2 linked regions of the Cricetulus griseus genome follow. The protein of the gene in region 2 interacts with the protein of the main gene of each other region in a biochemical or structural test. Links are inferred from orthologs where the notes say so. Each region holds a gene or a part of one and is shown on either strand. Other genes may lie near its edges.

Region 1 (6,033 bases), about 59 Mb from region 2:
AGATCTGCCTGCCTCTGCCTGGGATTAAAGGCGTGCACCACCAAGCCCAGCTACACTTGGCCCTTTCTGATGACATCAGAGGCGATATCAAATGGTACACCGTTTTGAGACATGGTCTCTTTATGTAGCCCTGGCTATCCTGGAGCTCACATAGCTGTGTAGACCAGGTTGGCCTTGAACTCACATAATGATGACCTTGAGCTTCTGATTTTCTTCAACATCTTTGCTCCCATTCTCCCCCTGACCGGAAGGTGATACCCTGGCAAGTGATTCCACCTGAACAAGTCTGTTTATTCAGATAGTCCCAGAGTCTGGAGCAATACATTACAGTCACATGACATTAGAGTCTAAGAGAATCTCAAGCCAAGGGCATTTCCACCATACAAAGACCTTACCTAGAGGATTGAAGGGGAAGAACTTTTCTATTTCTGGGTAGGCGTCATCAGAAGCAGGAACAGAGACTTGTTGTGTCTTAGGAGCCTTCTCAATGGTCTAGAAAAACCCAAGAGAATAAGCACCTGTGAGAATAGAAGTGAGGTTGGAGGGCCTCTTCAAATGATGATTTCACTTTAAAATTTGTCAATTCTGTGTTCTGATCCTTGGTTTTCAGGATTCAGTCAAAAGACAAGAAGAGAAGTGACTCCTGGAAGTTGTCCACCGACCTTGAAATGCATGCCATCACATGAGCAGGCCCTGCGCTACACAGATACAAAAGCTAAGGAGCTGGAGAGATGGGTGACTCAGTGGTTAAGAGCATTTAATCCTCCTACAGAGGATCCAGGTTCAGTTCCCAGCACCCACAGGGTGGCTCAAGCTATCTGTAACTCCAGCTCAAAGGAATCAATGTTCCTTTATCTCCTCCTCAGGCACATGGTACACTCATATACCACACAGGCAAACATCCACACATACAAACTAAGTATTTTTTTTAAGTTAAGTTAATCAACTCGACTGTTCAAACCTAACAGTAGAGAAGATAGGCTTGAGGCACCCCAGAATAGTAGCCAATCCTGGGAGTCATTTTTACCTTATAAAAGTATGATTTTTCTGCCACTGTTACCTTAATCATTTGCCTGGCTAATATTAAGAAGTTTATGTTCCCTTAAATATATGGGCTTAAGCAGCAGCAAAACATAAAACATCTGAAGAATACCAGGCTGACAATAGCAGTAGGCCAAAACAGAAACCTGGGTGCTCTGGATCTTATCTCATACATTTGTGTGTGCCAGACTTGGAGGTGGGGCTGTAGCTCAGGCTGGCCTCCAACCAGCCCATCCTCCAGCTTCAGCTTCCCAAGTGTTAGGATTGCAGGTGTCTATCAAACCCAGCTGAGTACTTCACACACCTGCTGGTGGCTTCTAACCAGCTGCTTCCTGAAACTTGTTAAGGAGAGCTGAGGCATTAGTTACAATCTCAAGGGTGCTGAGCAACCAGGAGCAGTACACAGTGTGATTCTCCTCTGCTCGTTTGTTTATGGACCGCTATTTATCTCCTACTTGGAAGAAAGCCAGGTAGAAGACCTAGAAGTCCATTTTTAAGCATCAGAAGTACTACAGCGGGGCTTGCGATGGCTCAATGGTTAAGAGCACCTGCTGCTTTTCCAAAGGAGCTGGATTCAGTTCCTAGCACCCATGTAAGGCAGCTCACAACTAACTGCCTGTACTTCCAGTTCCAAAGCACCCAATGCCCTCTTCTGGTGTCCTCGGGTGCCCACACACATGCACATTAATGCACATACGAAATAATAATTTTTTTTTTTTAGGTGCTAAAGCATGAACACACCCCCCATCTTCCTATCCCGAACTCACCTTTTTCACAGTCAAAGTTGGTTGCTTCTGTTTGAGGGGTCTATTGATCTTCACTGGCTTTTCTGTAACCCTGTTGACAGTTCCCAAAGCTTTTCTGCTGGCTTTAGGCAAGACTGGAGCATTGAACACTTTGCCAACTTGTGGCGCTGAGATCTGCAATTTCCCATCTGAGGCTTTGACTATTGAGAAAAAGTATAATCCTGAGAATAAATAAAGTCTGCCAAACCTGACTGCCTGAGTTCAATCCCCAGCCCCCACAAAGTGTAAGGAGAACTGACTCCCACAGGCACACCATGGAACATGTGTGAATGCCCCCACACATATACAAATATGTAAGTAAATATGGTGTTCTTAAAGATTAGGCCATATAAACACCTCAACTTGACCCAGTTCTCACTCACAAACCCATGCTTTGTTTTTGGCATTTTAGCACACTGTTAAATAACCTCAGTAAGACAGTAAGATGAAGCCGGGCAGTGGTGGCACACGCCTTTGATCCCATCACTCGGGAGGCAGGCAGATCTCTCTGTGAGTTCAGGGCCAGCCTGGTCTACAGACTGAGTTCCAGGACAGGCTCCAAAGCTACATAGAGAAACCTTGACAGAAACAATAATCTGACAACCAGGCATGGTGGCACACACCTTTAATCCCAGAACTCAGGAGACAGAGGCAGGTGGATCTGTGAGTTCAAGCCCAGCCTGGTCTACAAATCAAGTACCAGGACAGCCAGGATTGTTACTGAGAAACCCTGTCTTGGGGGGGAAAAAAAAAGACAATAATCATGAAGCCAGGCATGTGTCTTTAATTCTAGCACTTGAGGAGGCAGAGGACAAGTGGATCTCTGAGTTCAAGGCCAGCCTGATCTACATAGCAAGTTTCAATCCAGTTAAAGCTACATGGGGGTGGGGGTTTCTGCTTCAACAAATAGATTAAGCATAGAGCCTGGGGACTTGATTAGTATGTAGAGTGCTTGCCTAGCATTTGAGAAGCCCCGAGTTCAATCCACAGCATTGCATAAACCAGGCATGGTGACCATGCCTATAATCACTGCACTGGGCAGGTGGGGGCAGAAGGCTCAGAAGTTCAAGATCTCTCTAGGTTATAAAGGGAAGTAGAGGCCAGTCTGAACTACATGACACCTTTTCTAAAGTTAAAAAGATAATAAGCATGAAAATATATGAAACCTGACTCTAATCAACCACAAAGTACACTAAATGCTATGGTCTCTAGACCACAACCATCATCCACTCCCAACACCTGTATATTTGAAGCCAGCCAATACTTACCACCAGACGCCAGCTTCAACCCATCCTTGGATGCCAAACGGCTGCCTGGTTCTTCATTATCCTTATCAATAAAGATCAGCGTAGCCATCCTGGATTACTCTAGAGGAGAGACCTATTGGGGAAGGCATGAAGAGCTAAGCGGCAACGGAGACCAAAGTCTACCCAGGACACATGTGCACAAAAAAATAAGAATTAAACTAAATCTTAAACCTTCAATTTAAGAACCTTAAAACCTTCAGAGTCAGAAATACTAAACTCCTAAAGAGAAGGCAAGTGAAGTTGGCACCCATCAAAACTGTCTCCCGGCTGTAACCGCAGCGCTAGGGAGGAGAAGGCACGAGGTTCGGATATTCAGGGTTGGTCTCAAGAACATAACAAGTTCGAGACCAGCCGGGGCTGCTTGAGACCTTGAAGAGGGAGGCAGGGGAGAAAAAAATTTAAATTAAAACAGCGTCGCCGCGGGTCAAGCACGTCAAGAGCGCCCAGGGACTCGGGGCCGAGTGAGGTTCAGATCCCGACCCTGCTTCGGTCTCCAGTCTGCCCCTAGCCACCCGGAGCTCACGCACAACACCCTCACACAGCAACTAAACTCACCCAAGACTGCGCCACCAACGACACCGCACTCCGCGGTTTAAAACACAACTCGCGCTTCAATTGGACCATGCGAGAGGAGGCGGGGCCTAGAGTCTGACAACCAATGAGACCAACCGAAGTTTTTAGTTACCGCCCCCCTCCAGCGTCTCTCTCTCTCTCTCCCAGAAATTAAAAAACTAGGGTCATACATTGCTCAAAACTCCTGATGGACTTTTTGTTATCCACAGTGTGGACCTGTGAGGAAGCATTGGTCCAATAACAAAAACGTCGTTTCGCTACTTTAAACTTGTAAGACTTTTTTTTTTTTTTTTTTTTTTTTTTTTATAACAGGGTTTCATGTGACCCAGTCTGGGTGATGGGTTTCTCTGTGCAACAGCCCGAGCTGTCCTGGAACTAGTTTAGCTCTGTAGACCAAAGTCAGTGTTAGCTCACACCTTTAATCCCAGAACTGAGGAGGCAGAGGTGGGTGGATCTCTGTGAGTTTGAGGTCAGCCTGGTCTACAGAACAAGTTCCATGACAGCCAGAGCTACACAGGGAAACCCTGTCTTGAACAACAACAACAACAACAAAAAAAAAAAAAAAAAAAAAAAAAAAAAAAATGGTGCTGATAAAATTTGAGGAATGTACCTTTATTTTGAAAAGTTTTCTCAATGTTTCAGAGAGAGGTTTGTAACACTCTGAAATGCAGGACTCCCTTTTATTAGCTAAGGACTTACACCTTTACTGTCCTTCCTCTGCCCTAATCCTGTTATTCCCTTAATCTGCTTTCTCCTTGCATCTCCTTCTAAATGCTGCTTCTTCATATTAAATCACTAGCACACAAAAGTTTTGGTTTCTAAAAGAAATCTGCATAAATTCTCACAGCTTCCACATGGATATTCTCTAATTCCTTGAGAGGTTTTTCTCCCTTTCTCACCAACAGGAAACATGGTTATGCCCAGGTCCCACTGCAAGTAAATTACATAACCACAGTGTCTTTAAAGGGCCATTTGTTTTCTTAGTGATGATGTCCCTAGCTGAGCCCTGTGATTCCCACCTGTTACTGGGGAGTAATATACCCTTTTGGTTGGTAAACTACCCTCGTGTAGAATGCTGAGTCCTTAGCTAATACAAGTTTCTTCTAATCCAGCTTTGCAAAAAACACTCACCAGCTATGACCTCTACCTTCTTGGTATCTCTAGAATCTTCTTGAGAACTCAGACCTGGGGGACAATTACTCCTTCTTGTCCAGAAAGTTCTGTAATTCCTCTGGAAAAGCATTCTGGCTTTGGCCTGGCTAATTAAATCTCCACAATCTATAACTTTGGGCTCTTCGACTGAGGCAGGGATGTTAGCTATATTCATCTATATTTGAAGAGGAATTCATGTGGGGAATCGTAAATAACCACAAGACAGCACAAAGAAATTTTTCCAGGGAATAGCTCAGAGAGCTTGCTGTTCCTGCAGAGGACCTGTGGTTTAGGGATCTGACGCCAATGATGTGAAAACTCATACATCTAAAATAAAACAATGATTTAAAAAGAAAGAAAGAAATTCCACTAAAATCTATTTTCCAGTAATTTGTTTAATGTTTTCTGTCTTATGGGGGACTATTTAAATTTGTTTGTTTGAGATAGGATCTTATTATGTCACTGGCCAGGAATTCAAAGATCTGCCTATCTCTGCTGGGATTAAAGGCGTGGGCCATTATGCCTACCTTCTTGGTTTTTTTCAGTAAACATTTTTGCTAAAATTCTAGAAGGAACAAGGGTTCAACCCTGCGGGGGGCACAAAGCTGCACTGCCACCATTCTCCCTGCAGGGTGCACAACGAACTACTTGCACAGACCGCGGTCTTGTTTGTTTAAAAAAAAAAAATCTCCAAGCACTTGAGAGTGCGCATGTGTCGTCCTTCCGGAAGTTATCGCTGGGCTGCCGGACGAAGACAGGGAACCCGGAAGTAAACATTACCGGATTACTTCGTTCGCGGCGGCTGCTTTGGCGTGGCCTGCGGCCGGACTGGGTAAGTTAGGGTTCCGAGACTCAGCAGACGAACTGGGAGCCTCGGGGGAGCGGGCATTTCCTGCAGTGAGTCCTCGTGGTGACGACCCGCGGAAAGACCGCGGACCGGGATGGGGGGGAAAAGACTACCGCCCGGGGCGCAGGCGCAACCCTCGGGTCCAGCCGGACAGAGGCTGAGTCCTCAAGGAAAGAGTCCTGGTCATAGGGAGGCGGACGCCTCTGTCCCCAGAAGAATGCCTTTGTTTTGGTTTTTTGTTGTTGTTGTTTTGGTTTTTCGAGACAGGGTTTCTCTGTGCAGCTTTGGAGCCTATCCTGGAACTAGCTCTTGTAGACCAGGCTGGCCC
Region 2 (6,026 bases):
CCTTGGCTAGCCTGAATTCACTATGTAGACAGGCTGGCCTTGGACGAACAGAGATCTACCTGCCTTGACCTTACAAGCCTCACAAGTGCTGAGATCAAAAGGCATGTGTCATCACAAGCAGCTGGATTTTTCATTTTTTAAACAGCACCACTGAAATAAAATTCAGGCAGTCATTTTTGATACCAACTCCAGGAAGACAATCCCCTCCCCATGTTTCAATGGTTCTACTTTCCAAGTTATTTCCTGAATTTCTACCTCTAAAACCTTTATCTACCCTTTTCCTGTTCCACTGCTACTCTAGATACCTTTGCTTCTAAGACGACAGGCTTCTCTTGACCATGATGCTTCTCACGTAGCAGCCATAGTATGGTACTCTTTGAAACATTATTAGGTGACACTTGGGGACATCTTATCCCAAGTCAAAAGTACTCTTTCACTATTAAATAAAACTCTAAGCTGGGCGTTGGTGGCGCACGCCTTTAATCCCAGCACTCGGGAGGCAGAGGCAGGAGGATCTCTGTGAGTTCGAGACCAGCCTGGTCTACAAGAGCTAGTTCCAGGACAGCCTCCAAAGCCACAGAGAAACCCTGCCTCGAAAAAACAAAACAAACAAAAAAAGCAACAACAACAACAAAAAACCTCTAAAAGGATGACATGAATTATGGATGGATAATACCCAAACTCCTTTATTTTGTTTTGGTTTTTGAGACATGGATTTATGTAGCTCAGGCAGACCTTGAACTCCTTATCTTCCTGCCTCTAGTTGGAGTTTCAGATGCAGATTAGCATGCAAGGTTCTTCCATCTAGTTCCTCTATTGCACAGTAAAATCATTTTCAAAAGGCTTGTCTACAATTTCATCCAATACATCTGTGAAGCTTCACTTACAGCAATAATTGATACAGCTTTATCAATTGATGCAGCTATATAAAACACCTGCCTCTTAAAACAACAACAGCTTTCAGTGAAATGGCTCAGAGGATAAAGATACTTGTCACCAAGACTGACTGACACACACATGTACACACAGTAAATGAAAGTTAAACAAGACACCATACCAACAAAAAAATGCCACTTTTACAGGCACCCAAATTAGTACTGTGAATGCCTTTAATCCCAGCCAGGGCTACACAGTGAGACTGCCACAAAAATCAATCTGTGCTTTGAAATATCAAAGATTATTTTGTAAAGACTCAAATATAAAGCCAGGTGCCTGTAATTCCAGCACTTGGGAGGCAGAGGCAGGTGGATCTCAAGTGAGTTCGAGGCCAGCTTGGTCTACAGAGAAAGTTCCAGGACAGCTTGGAACTGTCCCACAGAGAAACCCTGTCTCAAAAAACAGAAGACTCAAATATAAAGCAATGTTTTTTCTATGAGTGCTAACTTGGGGAGGGGCTTATATTTAAGTCTATATGGCACATTTCACTGGGTAAAAATTTTAAGGAGGGGGGTAGGAACAAATAGTTGTGCATTATTTCTGTCAACTTTTTCCTGTGCCTAGATCACCAGGAACAAAGTAAAGAAAATATTCTCAACACTATTTTCATCCTGATATATGGAATGAACAATTCTTAAAACAATTATCTTAGCATCTCTTTACTTTTTTCTTTCATACTAGCTCTTTCTCATTTTCAACAGCATTCCTGCTCAAAGTTAGCTAATTTCTCCCACTGCTAACTGCTCCTTTTGTTGTTATTTTGTTTTTGTTTTTTGTTTTTTTTGAGACAGGGTTTCAGATAGCCCATGTTGGCCTTGAACTTGCTCTGTAGCCAAGGATGACCCTGAACTCCTGATCCTCCGGCCAACTATAAATTATTCTCATCCCCTCACACCCCAAAACTTCTTACAATTACCCTAAAATCTAATGGAAAAAGTTATTATGGAGGAGAGGGAGGTAAATTCCACAGTACTTTAAAAACAAACAGGAAACCTGCTGGATTCTATCTTGCTTAAACAATGTATTCTACACTCTCATGGTTTTCTAGAAGTTAAAAATTTTTAAGTAGTAGTTTACATGCTGTAAACTATCATATCACTTTAGAAGCCTTCTGGCTCCAGAAAAGCAGAAAAGTAAGACAAAACTACAATATGAAATAAAAACTAATTATCTGAATAACCTCCTTATCCGTTTAATTTCATGTTAGGCCTCAAAAGGGCCTTTTAAGGGACTCTACACTAGGAAGAGAAATCTGGAAAGAAATGCAGCTTTGGAAGAATTGATACAACATACAGAGACATGGGCTGGGCAGTGGTGGCCCACGCCTTTGATCCCAGAACTCGGGAGGCAGAGGCAGACAGATCTCTGTGAGTTCGAGACCAGCCTGGTCTACAAGAGCTAGTTCCAGGATAGCCTCCAAAGCCACAGAGAAACCCTGTCTTGAAAAACAAAATAAAACAAAAAAAATAAAACAAAAAACATACAAACATATGTTTTATGTACAGTTCCGAAGATATAATCCAGAATTATATTAATTCAAATACTAATAGCTGTCACCATGTAAACATCTGGAGATGAAGTTCAACTAGGGAAACCGTATTTTAGGCTGCGATGAGACATTAAGGAAATGCTGTACTGACGTACTGAAATATTAAATATTTGTTGTCAGTCTTACCTAAGGCAATTCGCAGCAATTTCTAAAATCGGTTTGATTTATAACTTCAAAATAGCTTATGGCTTAATGATTGTAATTTAATGGAGGCCAACTGTGGTCATGTCAAAGATCATACGGTGGAATGAAACATCTCCCAAACCTGGTCCACCACCAAAGGACAATAGGTTCAGTTTCTTCAGATGTGGCAGGGGGGAAAATGACTTGGCACTGCATCACATACTTCAAAACCCAATAGGCTTTCTTCTGACAACAGCACCGTGTGCGTCAATGCATACCTTGGTGTGGTTAAGGAATGGACGAATGGTGAAATGGATGGGAAAGCAATTATCTCTAATTTCCTAAACACCTTCTAAATCAGCACGGTAAAATGCCTCCTGATACCCATCCTAGGTGATGGAAAAAATCCAGACCTGCCCTTTCGTCCACTCCCCTGCTGGGGTGTTTGCCCCGCAGCAGTGGGCCTGGGAGTTCCCTTCTCAGGTCGTCATTGTCCGGTGGGAAATCCACGGAGAACTGTAACGTGGACAAGAAAGTCTGCTCCCGAAACGAAAACCAGTACCGAAAATACGGGTAATTTTACGTCTTCCTTCGACCACCTCACGTAAAACAAAAGCAAGGAAACACCAGTAAACTTGCCCCACGGGTGTGAAATCCCACCAGCTCGGCTCAAAAGCGCTTCTGTGTCGACCCCCGGGACGCCGAGCACTCGGAGCGCCGTCTCGGGCGGCCCCTCGTCTCCCACCGCGGGCAGGAACCCAGACCAACAAGAGGGGGATGGCCGGACGCCAGGACCGACGGAAACGAGTGATTCCCGCCGAACCCGGCTGGCACAACAGGCGAGAAGTAATGCGGGGCCGGGGCTAACCTCGGCTGAGGCCGCGGGCAAGGCCTCGGGAGTGACGAAAGACAGGTAGGGGGCTCGCCGAAAGGGAGGCGGGAGAAGCGGGGCCTAGGCCGCAGCAGGCCGCGGAGTGGCTGCTCGCCGCTTGCGACCCAGGCATGGCGCCAGGCCTCGGAGCAGGCGCTAGTATTACCTGGACAGGTTCCTGCAGCACCGTCATCCTTGAGGCTCAGGCCCACTTTCTGCAGTGCCTCAGGCCCCCCCCGTAGCGACTCCGGCCCGGCCAGCCCCGGCTCATTTAAACTCACCAGCGACCGTTACCGGGGGATGGGGGAGGCCGAGTGGTTGCCGAACTCCTCCGAGCGTGACACGGAAATACCCGAAGTGGAGAGAGCCAAACGAGAGCGAGACGGAAAAGCCCGAGAGATGTCGGAAATACTCGAGGTGAGCCTCCGGAGGCGGAGTCTGTGGCCGGAAATTGGCGAGTGCTACCGGAAGTTGTTGGGTTGGGCCCAATCGGAAGTTCCTCTTCTCAGCCACGCCTTCGCCCTACGCACGCCACGCCCAATTGGCCACGCTAGCTGGGCCACGCCCAAAGAGCTACTAGTAGGATGGGCCTGGAGGGAGGGATCCGGCCGGCCGGAGTTACCTGTGGGACTGTTGGTCGGGGTAAGCGCCTCCGCCGTTCCCTGTTGTGCACGGTAGATTCAGCGAGGGGTAAAATACTAGTCTGGGGCTGAATTCAATAAAGTCTTTTGAGTTTAGGTCATTATCCACTCCTGGAATTCCTACTCAGGCCTCTGAGGAAAATCGAGGGATAATTGGAACATTGCCATTCCCCAAATATATAGGATTCCTGTATTCAAAGAGATACGGTCTGTTGCAAACAAAAACGCCTAGGCTGTGTACTTGCCTAGCATGCATGAAGCCCTAGGGGTGATCGCCAGTGTCACCTAAACATTGCTCTCCTGCTTTGGGAGGCGGACGCAGAAGTATCTAGAGTACAGGATAATTAAGAACAAGATAGCGAGTTTGAGGCAAGCTTGGGCTACCTGACACCCTGGCTCATAATTGAAAAAAAAAAAATCAGTGTAACTGAGAATTTCGTTATTTGCAACTTGTTCTGGGTGATGTAAAACTTCAACTTCAGAGAAGAGGGAAGTAAATAGGGAAATAGGGATTTAAATGATGGCTGTAGTTACAAACACTAACAGAGGGTTTAATGTCTGCTTTTTGGCCACATCCTCAGAATAAACAAAGGAACTATTAAAATCTCCCTTTTCGTCAGACAAGGAAAGCTTCTGAAAGTTAACTTTCTGTTGGGACTCCTCTGAGCTAGATGTGAAACTGGAAATCTCCTTTTTCCCCTGGATACTGAGGATCTAACCTCTCATTACTGGTAGGCTAAGCAAGTGATCAACAATTGAGCTACATCTCCAGCCCTCTTGTTACTTTTTTTTGTTTTGTTTTTATTTTAAAGTATTGAAGGTACCCAGGCTGTCTTTGAACTTTTAAAACCTGCCTCAGCCTCTCAGACTACCGCTGGCACCAGTCCTGGTTCTGGGAATCAATCAATCTCAGTCCCCCAGCCCCTCATTTCCACATTGTGTACAGATGATACAGTTAGCATTGTCATTTTAGAGATGCTGGGGGTTAGTCATCTAATGGTAGCCATCCTTTTCCTCGTCCCCCTTTCCTTCTAATAGATCCAACTGTCTCCAGACATTGCCTACATACTTGTTAGTCCCATGAAAGATGGGTGCTAAGGCAATTTCCAGCCGGCCCATGCCCTGTTCTTTTAATGGGATTGTGTTGGATGAATTAGAGTGGGAATAAACATCCGTGCTGGCCTATATAACAGTTGCTCACTATTTAAAGTTCAGTTTAAACCAAATGAAATTCTTCAGATATTCTAGTCACATCCCAAAGACCTAAGTCATTGACATAACTAGAGTTGTTATTGAAATAGCTAGAATTGGAGGACAACTTTACCCGTGAGTCTAAGGTCTTGCTAATATCTGGGCCTCTCGATTCTCCCCAACAAAACCTTTTTCTTCATACAGTGATTGCTCACCAGTCAGTGGCCTATCCTAGCTTGAATTGGTGTCTGTCAAGCAAGTCAGTGAAAACAGAAGCTTTGAGGCCCCTTCAAGCCTAGATCTGAAAGTCAAATCCATTGTTGGTCAATTTAAGACACAGGATCAGCCTGGATTTACCAGGAAAACATGCTCCATCTCTTGATGAGGGAATAGCAAAGCAACTCTGCAAAAGATATGCGCAATGAGAGGGATTGGTGGGTCATCTTTGATCCCCCACCACCACCTGGTACATTGATTTCTCCCCACCCCCATAATTTTGCAAATGCTAGGCAAACACTACCATTGAGGTCCCCCATCAGCTCCAGCCATCCTTGGAAATGGAGTCTGGCTGGGTGGTGGTGGCAGTGGTGCACGCCTTTAATCTCAGCACTCGGGAGGCAGAGGCAGGTGGATCTCTGTGAGTTAGAGACCAGCCAGGTCTACAAGAGCAAGTGCCAGGATAGGCTCCAAAGCCACAGAGAGACCCTGTCTCGAA

What was found. The genes of interacting proteins can lie anywhere in the genome.
Region 1: the proteins of Cdc27 (region 2) and Pttg1 form a complex in vitro, tested with the Homo sapiens proteins (3 studies listed by BioGRID). The link is inferred for Cricetulus griseus from reciprocal best matches to the Homo sapiens genes CDC27 and PTTG1.

Annotation. Positions count from the first base shown.
Region 1 is NC_048600.1:58,114,603-58,120,635, forward strand, and holds the start of Pttg1 (securin), read right to left. Parts: upstream 3,757-6,033; 5' UTR 3,689-3,756; intron 3,677-3,688; exon of another isoform or gene 3,207-3,676; 5' UTR 3,183-3,206; coding exon 3,095-3,182; intron 1,988-3,094; coding exon 1,809-1,987; intron 493-1,808; coding exon 396-492; intron 1-395. UniProt on the Homo sapiens protein: Regulatory protein, which plays a central role in chromosome stability, in the p53/TP53 pathway, and DNA repair. Probably acts by blocking the action of key proteins.
Region 2 is NC_048600.1:117,572,227-117,578,252, forward strand, and holds the start of Cdc27 (cell division cycle protein 27 homolog), read right to left. Parts: upstream 3,785-6,026; 5' UTR 3,673-3,784; coding exon 3,646-3,672; intron 3,522-3,645; exon of another isoform or gene 2,835-3,521; intron 1-2,834. UniProt on the Homo sapiens protein: Component of the anaphase promoting complex/cyclosome (APC/C), a cell cycle-regulated E3 ubiquitin ligase that controls progression through mitosis and the G1 phase of the cell cycle.